Linked DNA regions of Macaca mulatta. Each later gene encodes a partner of the first gene's protein in a complex. Links are inferred from orthologs where the notes say so. Each region holds a gene or a part of one and is shown on either strand. Other genes may lie near its edges.

Region 1 (3,536 bases):
AGCAGTGATGAATGACAGCAGTGATGACTGACAGCAGTGATAACTGACAGCAGTGATGACTGACAGCAGTGATAAATGAATGACAGCAGTGATGACTGACAGCAGTGATAACTGACTGACAGCAGTGATGAATGACAGCAGTGATGACTGACAGCAGTGATGACTGACAGCAGTAATGACTGACTGACAGTAGTGATGAATGACAGCAGTGATGACTGACTGACAGCAGTGATGACTGACAGCAGTAATGACTGACTGACAGCAGTGATGACTGACTGACAGCAGTGATGACTGACAGCAGTGATGACACGTCACGCCACACTGCACTGGGGTCACACCTCTGGAGGGCCACTTTGTTGATTTGACTTGAGTCTAAGAGTTAAATCTTTTAAATACATTTGGGGAGATTAACTGGGGAAAATGGAGGCAACTTAGGCAACCATACAGAAAAGCAACAGAAAGCTGAGTGTTGAAAAGAGAAGGTGAGCACATCAGATGAAAGACAAGGCTGAGGGTGACCTGATTCCATTTCATGGAGAAGCTCCCGGACAACCGCTTGCAAATGTGTTTGGCGTTTGGTCAGAGACAGATAGGTCTGCTCGTTGGGGAGTGTTCAGGATTGGAAACTCAGGGAGCTTTCCTAGAAGGACTGCTCAGGGCCACAGTGGGCATATGAGGAAGGGGCACCAGACGCGGCCCTCAGCACCACCCCCAGCCCTGGATCTCTCCTACCTCCCCAACAGCATTGGAGAGAATGTGGACGATCTTCTCGTGGGGGGTGGCCACGACGCTCTGTCCATTGATTTCAATGATCCGGTGCCCCACACGGACGCCTCCTCTCTCAGCTATTCCCCCTCTCATGAGGCTGCAGATCTGCCAGAGTCAAAGGCTGTGTTACCCTCATGGCAGAGAGTGTGGCAGGGCTGGAAGGCCGTCTTTCCCGAAAGCCCCGCCCCCGCACTCTGCTCTTGGAGAAACTGACATGGTTAGGCTTTGGGCATTTAACTCTCTTAGTGTCTTTTCACAAAAGAATAGGTGCTGTTGGTCCACATGGCCACCTTGTTCATGTGGCTTGCGCAGAGACTGTAGCACATCACTGGTTTTTACAGCACACTGAATTCTACTTCTCATCCCAGCTGGGGCTGGGTAAAAAGGGCCATTTGGGCCTGTCGCAGAGTCGCCAGTGTTTTCAAACTGTTAGCCTGTGTGACGCAGGTTAGTGTTAGTTCCCGCAGTCATGACTGGGACTCAAGCACTCAAGCACCGAAGTGTTTAATGCAGCAGATTGTTTTTAGGGTCACAATTGCCTGAGCCACCGTGGGGCTGGAACTCCACCTCTGTGTTCCAAAGTGTGGCTGGCTGGGAGGGAGAGGCTCCTTTAGAGCTTCCCAATTCAGCGGCCCCTGTTCAAACTCCCTTCCCACAGAAACGACAGTGAGGCTGGATTTTGTGATGGCACAGTCAGCCACCACAGTGACCCGAGGCTGCAGGCGGGGCTGATGGGCCCTCCACCCTCACCTCACACACACTGCAACATAACTTTTCCCAAGAGTAGGTCTGAATTTACTAAGTTGGCTTTTCATTCCAGACCATGCACCTTTATTTTAAGTGGATGCAGACAAGATTGCAAGTGACATCTGGCAGCAACATGCTGTGTCATTCTGTGAGTGTGTGGCCCAGTTGCTCTCTCAGCTAGTCTGGGGTCAAAACATGCCTTAGGTGTTTTCCCAATGGACCCACAGGTGTTAACGACTCCTTGTTCATATCCAAACTTTTAATACTATTTAACTATGAACAAAGCAAACAAGTACAAGTGCAAACCAATGAAAAGATGATCTCAGAGCTAGACTGTAAAGAGTCAGCCTAGGTCCTCTCCTAATAAGTAAACTAGGCTACTCAGGTACGAAGAATGCAGGAAGTGGGGCTGGATATTTCAACTCCAAATGGGAAGTTCAAGGGTATTTCTAAACCTTAAAATGTATTTGGAATGATATTTTAATTATCTAGGACACTTTTTTTTTTTTTTGGAGACAGAATCTTGCTCTGTCGCCTAGGCTGGAGTACAGTGGCACAATCTCTGCTCACTGCAACCTTTGCCTCCCGGGTTCAGGTGATCCTCTTGCCTCACCCTCCTGAGTAACTGGGATTACAGGTGTCCGCCACCACACCTGGCTAATTTTTGTATTTTTAGTAGAGACTGGGTTTTGCCATGTTGGCCAGGCTGGTCTCGAACTCCTGGCCTTAAGTAATCCGTCTGGCTTCGCCTGAAGCCCAAGGTTTGAATGATCACTCAAACACCACACTGTGTGAATCCCAGTTGTGACTGTGGGAACTGAGCCGGCCCCTGCACTGCACAACCCCAGGCTTGGGAGTCAGCTGCTCTGCGGGGACTCTGTGCCGCCTGGGTGGACAGCCCAGAGGCGAGGAGGCTCTTGGAGGGTGCATCCCAAACTCTCAAGCTAGCAGCCAGGAGGACAGCCCTGCATGTCACAGAAATGCTGGGTTCTGGGCGGGAATCTCTGCTGAAGGGACTCTGTCCAGAGAGGGAGCTGAGCCTGCTTCATCCATCTTTCTTGATGGATTCCTTCAGGGAACAAACTGACTTTAAAAAAAAAAAAAAAAAAGAAAATCAAAGGCCCTGTAATACCAGCACTTTGGGAGACAGAGGCAGGCAGATCACGAGGTCAGGAGTTCAAGACCAGCCTGGCCAGTATGGTGAAACCCCATCTCTACTAAAAATACAAAAATTAGCTGGGCAGAGTGGCACATGCCTGTAGTCCCAGCTACTGAGGAGGCTGAGGCAGGAGAATCCCTTGAACCCAGGAGGTGGAGGTTGCAGTGAGCTGAGATAGTGCCACTGTACTCCATCTTGGATGACAGAGCAAGACTCCATCTCAATTAAAAAAAAAAAAAATCAAAGGCCATGCTACATTTTTATTTGTCAACATTGTGGAAAAGGATGTGGAAGGTGTTCTACTTACAATTCCGTTCTGGACACTGAAACCCAGCTGGTAGCGAAGGTCTGGTCTTCTGATTAACACGGTGGTGACCGGAGGACATCTCACAATATTCAGCTTGACTCGGGATTGATTCTTTAAGCCCTTAAACATGAATAAAGTACAGTGGGTATGGTGACCACTGAGGCAGACAGAATAAACAAAAGCAGGCAGCACCAAAGGCAAAAGAAGCCACACTGAGTTTTCCGTAGGACCCACTGCCTGCCTGCAGGCCTTCAGTGCCCAGGCTGGTACAGTCACTGCTCGGCTTCACCTACCCAGGGAAGATGCGACATGGTGCAGATGGAGCCCTTTCAGCCCATGCACAGATGGGGTTCCTGTGGGCAATGCCTTCCTTTTGGGAAGTGGACTAGGTTCAAGGGATCTGATCAAAGTACTTGCGCAACTATGAGGAAGTGTCAGATGTACTTTTTGACTTCAAAGATGAAGGAGGCACACTATTTCCCCCAGCCAGGAAAGACACGAGTGGGAAATGGATTTTCTTTCTGGAAGGCAAACTCTAGCAATGACTCCTCTTCT
Region 2 (4,084 bases), on another chromosome or scaffold:
TGTCACCCTTGCTGGAATGCAGTGGCACTATCTCGGCTCACTGCAACCTCTGCCTCCCAGGTTCAAGTGATTCCCCTGCCTCAGCCTCCCAAGTAGCAGGAATTACAGATGACTGCCACCACGCCCGGCTGATTTTTTGTACTTTCAGTAGAGACGGGGTTTCACGATGTTGGCCAGGCTGGTCTTGAACTGCTGACCTCAAGTGATCCACCTGCCTCGGCCTCCCAAATTGCTGGGATTACAGGTGTGAGGCACCACAGCCTGCCTAACCACAGTGATTTTAATTACCTGCATGCCCCAGACCTCCCTCAGAACTAAGCCCTTTCTTTTCAGCTCAGAGGTATGCCAAGTCCTTATCCTTATCTACAGTACCCTCAGCAGGAACACCCTTTACCTTGTTTGCCTGGAGAACTCCTACTCATCCTTCAACACCCAACCCAAATGTTCCTTACTCTGCAAAACTTTCCTGTATGTATGTTGGCCAGGTGCCACATCTGGGCTGTCACAGTACTTTGCAGTTCCTCATTATTATGTCTCTGGCTTAGGACTATTTCAGCCGAGGCCTACTGCCCTCCCCAGAGAGGGAAGGTTGAGTGTAGGAGCTGAGACCAACATCTCTCAGGGTCTGTAACACTGGCCAGCACAGGGCTAGCCATAGAGGCAGAGCTCAGTCAGTGTGTGTTGAGTGAATGTCAAAAGCAGGGGCTATGCTACCTTAGACAGACTGTGTCCCGCAGTCCTGCCTCAGCCCTCCACTCACCACACCGTTCACCGACAACAGTTGGTCCCCACGCTTGAGGCCTCCATGGCGGTCAGCCACACCCCCCGGGATGACCCGGGAGATGTAGATGGGCGAGTTCTGCTCTTTGCCACCCATGATGTTGAAGCCCAGGCCCTCATCCGTCTTGGGTAGCTCCACTACCCTGGGATGTGCGTGGCCCTCGCTGGCTGTGAAGGCAGCCACTGTGGCCTGGGAGAGAGAAAGCGACTGAAGATGAGGGCCCCTGCCAGGTGGGCAAGAAGGCTGGGGTGGGGGATCTGAACCGAGGACAGCGATTTAGCCTGGGTTACTATCCCCAAACATGGGACACGTGCCATGGCACAATGCAAGATCCCCCTTTAATGACTGTGCGTCCCTTTCTGTTCACTTGCAAGAGAAAGTGTCCATTTGGTGTGTGTCTTGAATACCCCATACTTGCCAATCTTTTTTTTTTTTTTTTTTTTTGAGATGAAGTCTCGCTCTGTTGCCCAGGCTGGAGTGCAGTGGCATGATCTTGGCTCACTGCAACCTCGGCCTCCTGAGTTCAAGCGATTCTCCTGTCTCAGCCTCCCGAGTAGCTGGGATTACAGGCACCCGCCACCACGATCGGCTTTTTTTTTTTTTTGTATTTCTATAGAGATGGGGTTTCACCATGTTGGCCAGGCTGGTCTCGAACTCCTGACCTCAAGTGAGCCACCTGACTCGGCCTCCCAAAGTGTTGGGATTATAGGCGTGAGTCACCGTGCCTGGCCGCAATCTTACTTTTAAACAGATGAAAGCCAGGCTTGGAGGGAGATCCGAGCCTCTGGGCAGCAGCAAGAGGTAGCATCTCACTATTGTGCAGTGAGAGATCAGAGCGCCATGACTTCCCTGGTTTCACTGTACAGATGTTGAAGGTTATCTTCTAGCCAGTCATGCCACACTGGTTTCCATTTGCAGTTGCTAAAGACGCCTTCGTATGACATTTAAGTTAAAAATGTGCGATTATTTAATAATGGTAAGAGTGGCACATAGATTTAGCAAAAATCATGAGGGAGGAAACAGAAATGACTGGCATGAAGGAGATACTGAGCTCGACCAGGCAGTTAAATAGACACCAGGAGCAATGAGGTGCGGGGCCCACCTTGGCTGTGGCATGGGCTCGGATTTCGGCGCTGCCAGTGATGTCCAGCGTGTCATAAAGCTGCTCATACACCTGGGTGAGGAGGCAGCGGCATCAGGGAGCTGCCAGTTCCTCCAGCCCTAGACGCAGGAGTCCGGGCCCCTAGACCCTCTCCCGCTGCCACGCAAGGATCCGCCCCGCCCCCGCAACCGGAGCCGGAGGAAACTACAACTCCCGAAGAACCACTGAGCTGAAGCGTGGGCACCCCAAGGCTGGCCGCCTCGGGAGCTGCCGGGAGGCGTAGTCCCCGGGCTCGGGACTAGCAGGAGGAGGAGGAAGAGGACGGCGGCCACCAGCTCGCGCCCTTGCGCCGCGCGCCGCTCACCTCTCGAATAGCGGAGCAGAAGCGGCTCTGCAGGACTCGCTGGAGGGCCTGCAGCTTCTGCGGGGGCAGCTCCCCGCTGCGCTGGAGCCGCTCGAGGAGCTCAACCGCCCGGGACACGTCTGCGGGGCGGGGGCGGGGCGCAGAGACCCCGAGACGCAGAGAAGCAAGGAGAGCGGCGGAGTGAGGCCGAGCGCACAGTCCAGGGAGGACCGCCGAAGCCCAGTCGGACACCCCGCAGAGTCCAGGGTGGCGCAGGAGAGACCGCCACCAGCCGGGCGCCCTGCAGCCCCAGGACCCCTCCACAGGCCGGGGTGTAAGGCGGGCGCCCCCCGCCCCGGCCTGGGCTCAGGGAGCCTCCCACACCCCGCGACCGCCCGGCCCCGGCGCCCGCCCCGCCCACCCCGCCGGGTCCGCTGGCCCACCCGCACTGGCCTGGCCTGGGAAGGGCGGGGACCGGGGGCTGGGTATGCAGGCCGCGGCCCGGGTGGGCAGGGCCCCCTGGCGCGCGCTTACCCCGCTCCAGCCCCAGCGGCTCCACCAGCGCAGCCATGTCGGCGCCACAGCTGCCAGCGGCCCGCCTGCCCCGGCGCGGGCGAGGAGGGCGGGGCTGCGCGAGGCCACGCCCCGGGCCACGGGCGCCCCCTGCGGAGGCGCAGCCTGGAGAGCGCCCAGCTCCCCCGCGCCGGACTGTCCCGACCCCCCTGCCGCGCGCCACCCGCGGCCCTGCCCTCCGTCCCGGCCCGTCGGTCCTGTTGGCGACTCCTCCCGTTGTAGGTTCGGTCTGTGTTTCTCTTTCAGGATCAGTGTCTGCCTGCCCTCCACACCTGTCTATCCCCTGTCCATTCTTTTCCCACATTCATTCAACAAACTCCTGTGAAACATCTGGGCCCAAGGCATGGACACTGTGGTGAGCAGGGCAGCCAAGCCCACGGCCCAAACGGAGCTTCCAGTCTATGGGAGAGGTAGACCACCAGCCACGGCTGTAATGAGAGCTGAGAGTGGGGAGGTAAGGATCTAGAAGACGAAGGAGATCCTAGAGCAGGGACATTGACATACAGTCCTGGGAGGTAAGATGAACAAGAGGTGGAGCTTGGGTCACCCCCACCACGCAGAAAGAGTCCACAGGGCTGGAAGCAGAGTTAGGATTGGTTGATGATGAGGTGAAAAGGCCGGCAGGATACAGTTTATGCCTGGGCTCCTGCGTTGGCATATGCGCCTTGAGGATTTGGGGCTTCATGCAAACTCCTAAGAGTAAAATATGACACTCAAATTTGTATTATTATTATTATTATTATTATTATTGAGACGGAGCCTCGCTCTGTCGCCTAGGTTGGGTCTCAGATTTGTATTTTAAGATCACTGGGGCCGGACGCGCTGGCTCACGCCTGTAATCCTAGCACTTTGGGAGGCTGAGGGGGGCGGATAGCCTGAGCTCAGAAGTTCGAGACCGGCCGGGCGCGGTGGCTCAAGCCTGTAATCCCAGCACTTTGGGAGGCCGAGACGGGCGGATCACGAGGTCAGGAGATCGAGACCATCCTGGCTAACACGGTGAAACCCCGTCTCTACTAAAAAAATACAAAAAACTAGCCGGGCGAGGTGGCGGGCGCCTGTAGTCCCAGCTACTCGGGAGGCTGAGGCAGGAGAATGGCGTAAACCCGGGAGGCGGAGCTTGCAGTGAGCCGACATCCGGCCACTGCACTCCAGCCTGGGCGGCAGAGCGAGACTCCGTCTCAAAAAAAAAAAAAAAAAAAAAAAAAAAAAAGAAGTTCGAGACCAGCTTGGACAACATGGTGAAACCCCGTCTCTACGAAAATACAAAAAAAAAAAAATAGCCGGC
Region 3 (4,334 bases), on another chromosome or scaffold:
TTTTTTATTGTACTGTGAGTCAGGGACTATGGCAGACACTGAGAATTCAAAGATGAATTTAGAAATGGTCTCTTCCCTCAAGGAGTTCCATCCAATAGGGAGACAAATGCAACAGAGTGTGATAAATGCTTTAATGGGGCCAAAGCAGCAAGTCAATTTAAAGCATATCAAAGGGTACCAAAGCAGCCTGGGAGAGAGGTGATCTGGAAAATCTCCCAGTAGGTGACCAAAAACTGAGTCCTAACTCTAATTAATTGAATTATAGACTGCTAAAGCTGCACAGTGTTAGAATCATCTAATTCAAACTCCTGATGTGGCACAGAGAGAATCTGATGTCCAAAGAGGCTCATATATGCAGAGTGAGTATCAGAGTTACAACTGGGACCCAGATATGTAATACTGGGCTGCCTCTTTTAAAATGCACCTTTTTTTGCAGGGAAATTTTTAGAACCTTTTCTTTCATCAGTTTAATAATGAAAGTAATCAATTAATCATATTTTAATAAGGTACAGAGAACAATTATTTATTTATATTGACTTTATGCTCAGTGGTGATGCCAATAACCCATCATCTCTTGGTTATAGATTTTCATGAGCTGCTGGTGAATTTTTTCAGACCTATCCACAGGGTAACCCTGTTTGCCTCCTGAGCTACTCCATGGGCGTAATCACACTCAGAAGGACAAGTAGAGTTTGGTTGTGAACAAGAACAAACTTTAAGAATAAATCTTAGTCCGATTAGCACCTCCTCTCAACAACTGACTGAGGCATCTAAGGGCTAGGGTAAAAACCAAACATTGAAATATTTTTATTAGTAGTAGTAGTGGTAGTATATAAAATGACTCAAGTATGCAATCTTCTTGGAGTTTTTGCTCCTAATGTAGTCACTTGGTTTGGGATGTTTAATGACTGTGATTTTGTAATGGGACAATATAAGAGCACATCACATTAAAACATAAATACTTGGGAAGCCCATAGTTTCTGATAGCTTGCCATCTGTTTGGTTCTTACCGGCAATGGATTTATCCTGCTTAGTGCAGATGATGATATTGTGGGTAAGATCATGGATTATACAATGGATTTCTGAGGTCTTTAACTACTGTTATTAATTTTGCCAGCTTGCAAATCAACATTTTCTAATATAAAATCAATTACATTTTATTTTTCAACTCTTATCCTAAGAAAGGTTGCTATGGGCACCACATAACATCTGCTCTGGCGCCAACAGATTGCGTAAAGTCACCCACAGTCTCTTCAAATTAAAAACCTCAAACTGAGTTCACTGGCTTTGTCACTGTACTCCCAGCAGGATGCTCTTTTGCCTTGCCCCACCGTTCAGTTTAATCCTCTAGAAAGAAAATTTTTAGAGGTACATCGGACTAAATCATTTTTCTTCTGAGCACACAATTTCCAAATGGCCGCCCAGGGTCCTAAATCCGGCGGCTGCGGAGAGGGACTAGCGGGTGTCCTCCTCTGCAGAGCCGTGGGACTCGAGCGCCTTCATCACTGGACGTTGGAAGCCAGGAAGGAAACCCATACACTCAGGGACAGGTATAACCCCGCGCGGGTGCACCAGCGAGGCCCGGATCGCAGCAGAGGTCTCCATCCCTGAGCTTGGTGGGGGCGTCCTGGGGAGGAAGAGAACACTTTCCCCATTCGGGTCAGAGAGCAGGACTGACTGGGTCGCAGGTCAGAAGTTGAATTTTAACCCGACCTGCGCTTTGTCCCCGCGCCTTCCGCAGCCCGGGCGCCGCGGTGGCACAGAGCTGGGAGAGGACGAGAGAGGCTGGCGCGGGAGAAGCCGAGAGTTGCTACCGACTGGGAGCTGCCGGCGGCGGGAGCAGACGCGACCCTCGCCGCTTTCGAACGCGAAGCCGGGGAGAGCCGAACTCGGCTGCTGGGGCTCGGCTCCCCGCGCTCTGCCTTGCCCTTTCGGCGGAGGGCAGCTACCTGCCTGCTGCAGCCCCGCCACTGTGCGCCCGGCCGCCCCGGGGTGCGCCCAGCCCGCCCCCCGAGCGGCCGCCCTGACTCCAGCAGTTGGACCGACCCTCGCCCTCCGGCGCCTGGACAAACTTCCTTCCTCCCGCGCCCCCGCGCCGAGCAGGCTGACAGGCGGCTCCCTCGCCGGTCTCCTCTGGGCTCCGGCCGGGCGAGCTTGCTCTCTGCCCCTCTCCAACCCCGAGCCCCTGGCGCCTAGCCGTCCCCAAGCAGCCGCTCCAACAAAGCCAGAGGCCCGGAGACGACCCGGCGAGGGACTGGGAGTGGCAGCGGGGACCCTAGAGCCAGAAGGAGGAGTCCCCTCGGCGGGGCGAGTACAGTGGGAAGGGGCAGCGGGGATGTAGCGGGGAGAGAGAAGGGAAGAAAGTGTCCTGCTCTAGGCGCGAACGTCTTCCTGGCTCGTCCTCGCTCCCCTTCTCCCCCGGCCCGAGCGCGTCCCGTGTCCCGGTGGGAATTGGCAGGCGGGGGAGGGCGGAGGGGAGAGGGGACGCGGTGGCCTGGCTAGCGAGCCGCTCCCTTACCTCTGTCCAGGGTGAGCGGCTGGACCACTGTCAATGTCGCCATGTCTGCCGTGGGAGCCGAAGTGACGCTCGGCTTCAGCATCAGCAACCGCTCGTAGTGAGAAAAAAAGGAGGAGATTGGGGGCGGGGGTGGAGAGGGAAGACGGAAAGGAGGGGGAGGAGGGGGAAGAAAGAAGGTGGTGGTGGTGGAGAAGAAAGCTTGGGTGGGTTGGTAGCCAGATGGAGAGGCAACTGTTCCGCGGCGGCAGATCTTTCAGTTGCGGTGCGGAGCTGAGCAGGTATCCGAGAGCGACTGCATCGCCGGGCTCTGGGAGGGAAGGCTCTGCCCTGGAACTTTGCTATTCCACCCCCAGGAGCACTGGGTGGGTGTAGCTGGCGGACTGCTTTCTTTCAACTTTCCACTCTAATAAAATGGTCAGAATATACGTGTGTGCATGCGTGTGCGTGTGTGTCAGGGGAAGAGAGAGGATAGAAAGGGGATATGGGGGAGGGAGTGGGAGATGAGTTTTCTCAGATTAAGAGAAATTGCCAATCCAATAATCCCATCTCCTTTAGAGAGAAAATGCTTCAGTGTCAGAAATGTTTGGGATGCAATTACATTTGCAGTTAATTTCTGTTGAAGTTTTTCGGAATGTTGACCTATAACGGCATATAAAGATAACTGACTAAAGGCCAGAGTTCCATCAGTAGATGTTCATTTAGGATCTGAGTATATTGCCTGGAAAAAAAAAATATAGCAAACCTCTTAGAAGTGCTTCAAAATAAAAAGCATGGGGGTAAGTTTCTATCCCTAAGTTTTCTTTTCTTTTTCAAGCCACTGTTAATACATTACCAATTCAGTAAATGTAGCTCAGAAACAAGTAGAGTGTTCAGATTTTCTCCAAATTTTTTACATACCACGTCTTGTAAACATGTCCCACTCCCGCCCAGCCACTCAACAAAAACTTTGCTCTTAATGTCCAAACTGATTTTGGTTGTCTATCACTTAGTTTGAAAAATATGTGCCTAGCACTTTTCATGTTGATTTCTAACCAGTGGGTCAGAGATGTCACTTATTGATTAACAAATATGCCAGGAATTGAGATAGAAGAGTTACATTGCCTTGTGCCACGCCTTGATTTAGGAGTTCAATTTAGTCTCTGACTTCCTGTAGCCTGTAATCTAGTGGGAGATGGTGTTATTAAAAGCTTGACTTTAGAGCCAGTTGATCAGGATTAAATTACAAGAGCCTTCAAATACTGACTGTGACCTCTTCGCCCCAATAAAAAGGCTACTTTCACTATCTTGTCATAGTAGGGATTCATTTCCTGACATAAAGAAACCTTCTATAAGCTGAATAGGGGTGACTGTGGGTGCAGGATTGGAAATGACAAAGCTGCCTCCATCTTGTTCCCTGTGACAGAGCTGAATTGTTTGGGCTAGCAATAAACTCTAAAAGGCAGATACAGTTTTATAGCAAAATATTTGCATATAATTGATGCCATTTTCTTCTGATTACAGATATGGTTTCTGAAGGTCTTTTTCATTTTATAGTCTACAATTGAATTTTAAAAAGCAACATTTCACCAATGTGGGAAAGCCAAAGATGATTGGCCATATATAGACTTAACAGACCCTAAAAACAAACCTAAAATAGTAGTTCAATATGCTTATTTTTATTTAGTATTTAAGGAAGAATGCTGGTCTTGACATTTGAGTCTTAGTTATGTGCTCTTCAGAAGTCACACAATTTCTCACTGATCCTGTTTCCTCCTCTGTCATACGGTGAAAATATTATTCAACCTCAAAGAGATTCTGTCATATGAGGAAACAAATT

Evidence for each region.
Region 2: APBA1 (region 1) and LIN7B share a complex: the UniProt entries of both Homo sapiens proteins name them as parts of the brain-specific heterotrimeric complex. The link is inferred for Macaca mulatta from reciprocal best matches to the Homo sapiens genes APBA1 and LIN7B.
Region 3: APBA1 (region 1) and LIN7A share a complex: the UniProt entries of both Homo sapiens proteins name them as parts of the brain-specific heterotrimeric complex. The link is inferred for Macaca mulatta from reciprocal best matches to the Homo sapiens genes APBA1 and LIN7A.

Annotation. Positions count from the first base shown.
Region 1 is NC_133420.1:100,467,898-100,471,433, forward strand, and holds part of APBA1 (amyloid-beta A4 precursor protein-binding family A member 1), read right to left. Parts: intron 3,102-3,536; coding exon 2,982-3,101; intron 874-2,981; coding exon 733-873; intron 1-732. UniProt on the Homo sapiens protein: Putative function in synaptic vesicle exocytosis by binding to Munc18-1, an essential component of the synaptic vesicle exocytotic machinery. May modulate processing of the amyloid-beta precursor protein (APP) and hence formation of APP-beta.
Region 2 is NC_133424.1:61,566,306-61,570,389, reverse strand, and holds the start of LIN7B (protein lin-7 homolog B), read right to left. Parts: upstream 2,836-4,084; 5' UTR 2,798-2,835; coding exon 2,761-2,797; intron 2,367-2,760; coding exon 2,248-2,366; intron 1,956-2,247; coding exon 1,884-1,955; intron 971-1,883; coding exon 761-970; intron 1-760. UniProt on the Homo sapiens protein: Plays a role in establishing and maintaining the asymmetric distribution of channels and receptors at the plasma membrane of polarized cells.
Region 3 is NC_133416.1:88,057,987-88,062,320, forward strand, and holds the start of LIN7A (protein lin-7 homolog A), read right to left. Parts: upstream 2,813-4,334; 5' UTR 2,601-2,812; coding exon 2,519-2,600; intron 2,312-2,518; exon of another isoform or gene 2,197-2,311; coding exon of another isoform or gene 1,742-2,196; intron 1,598-1,741; coding exon of another isoform or gene 1,414-1,597; exon of another isoform or gene 1-1,413. Other genes in the region: uncharacterized protein LOC114670904, read left to right, coding at 1,414-1,597, 1,742-2,196. UniProt on the Homo sapiens protein: Plays a role in establishing and maintaining the asymmetric distribution of channels and receptors at the plasma membrane of polarized cells.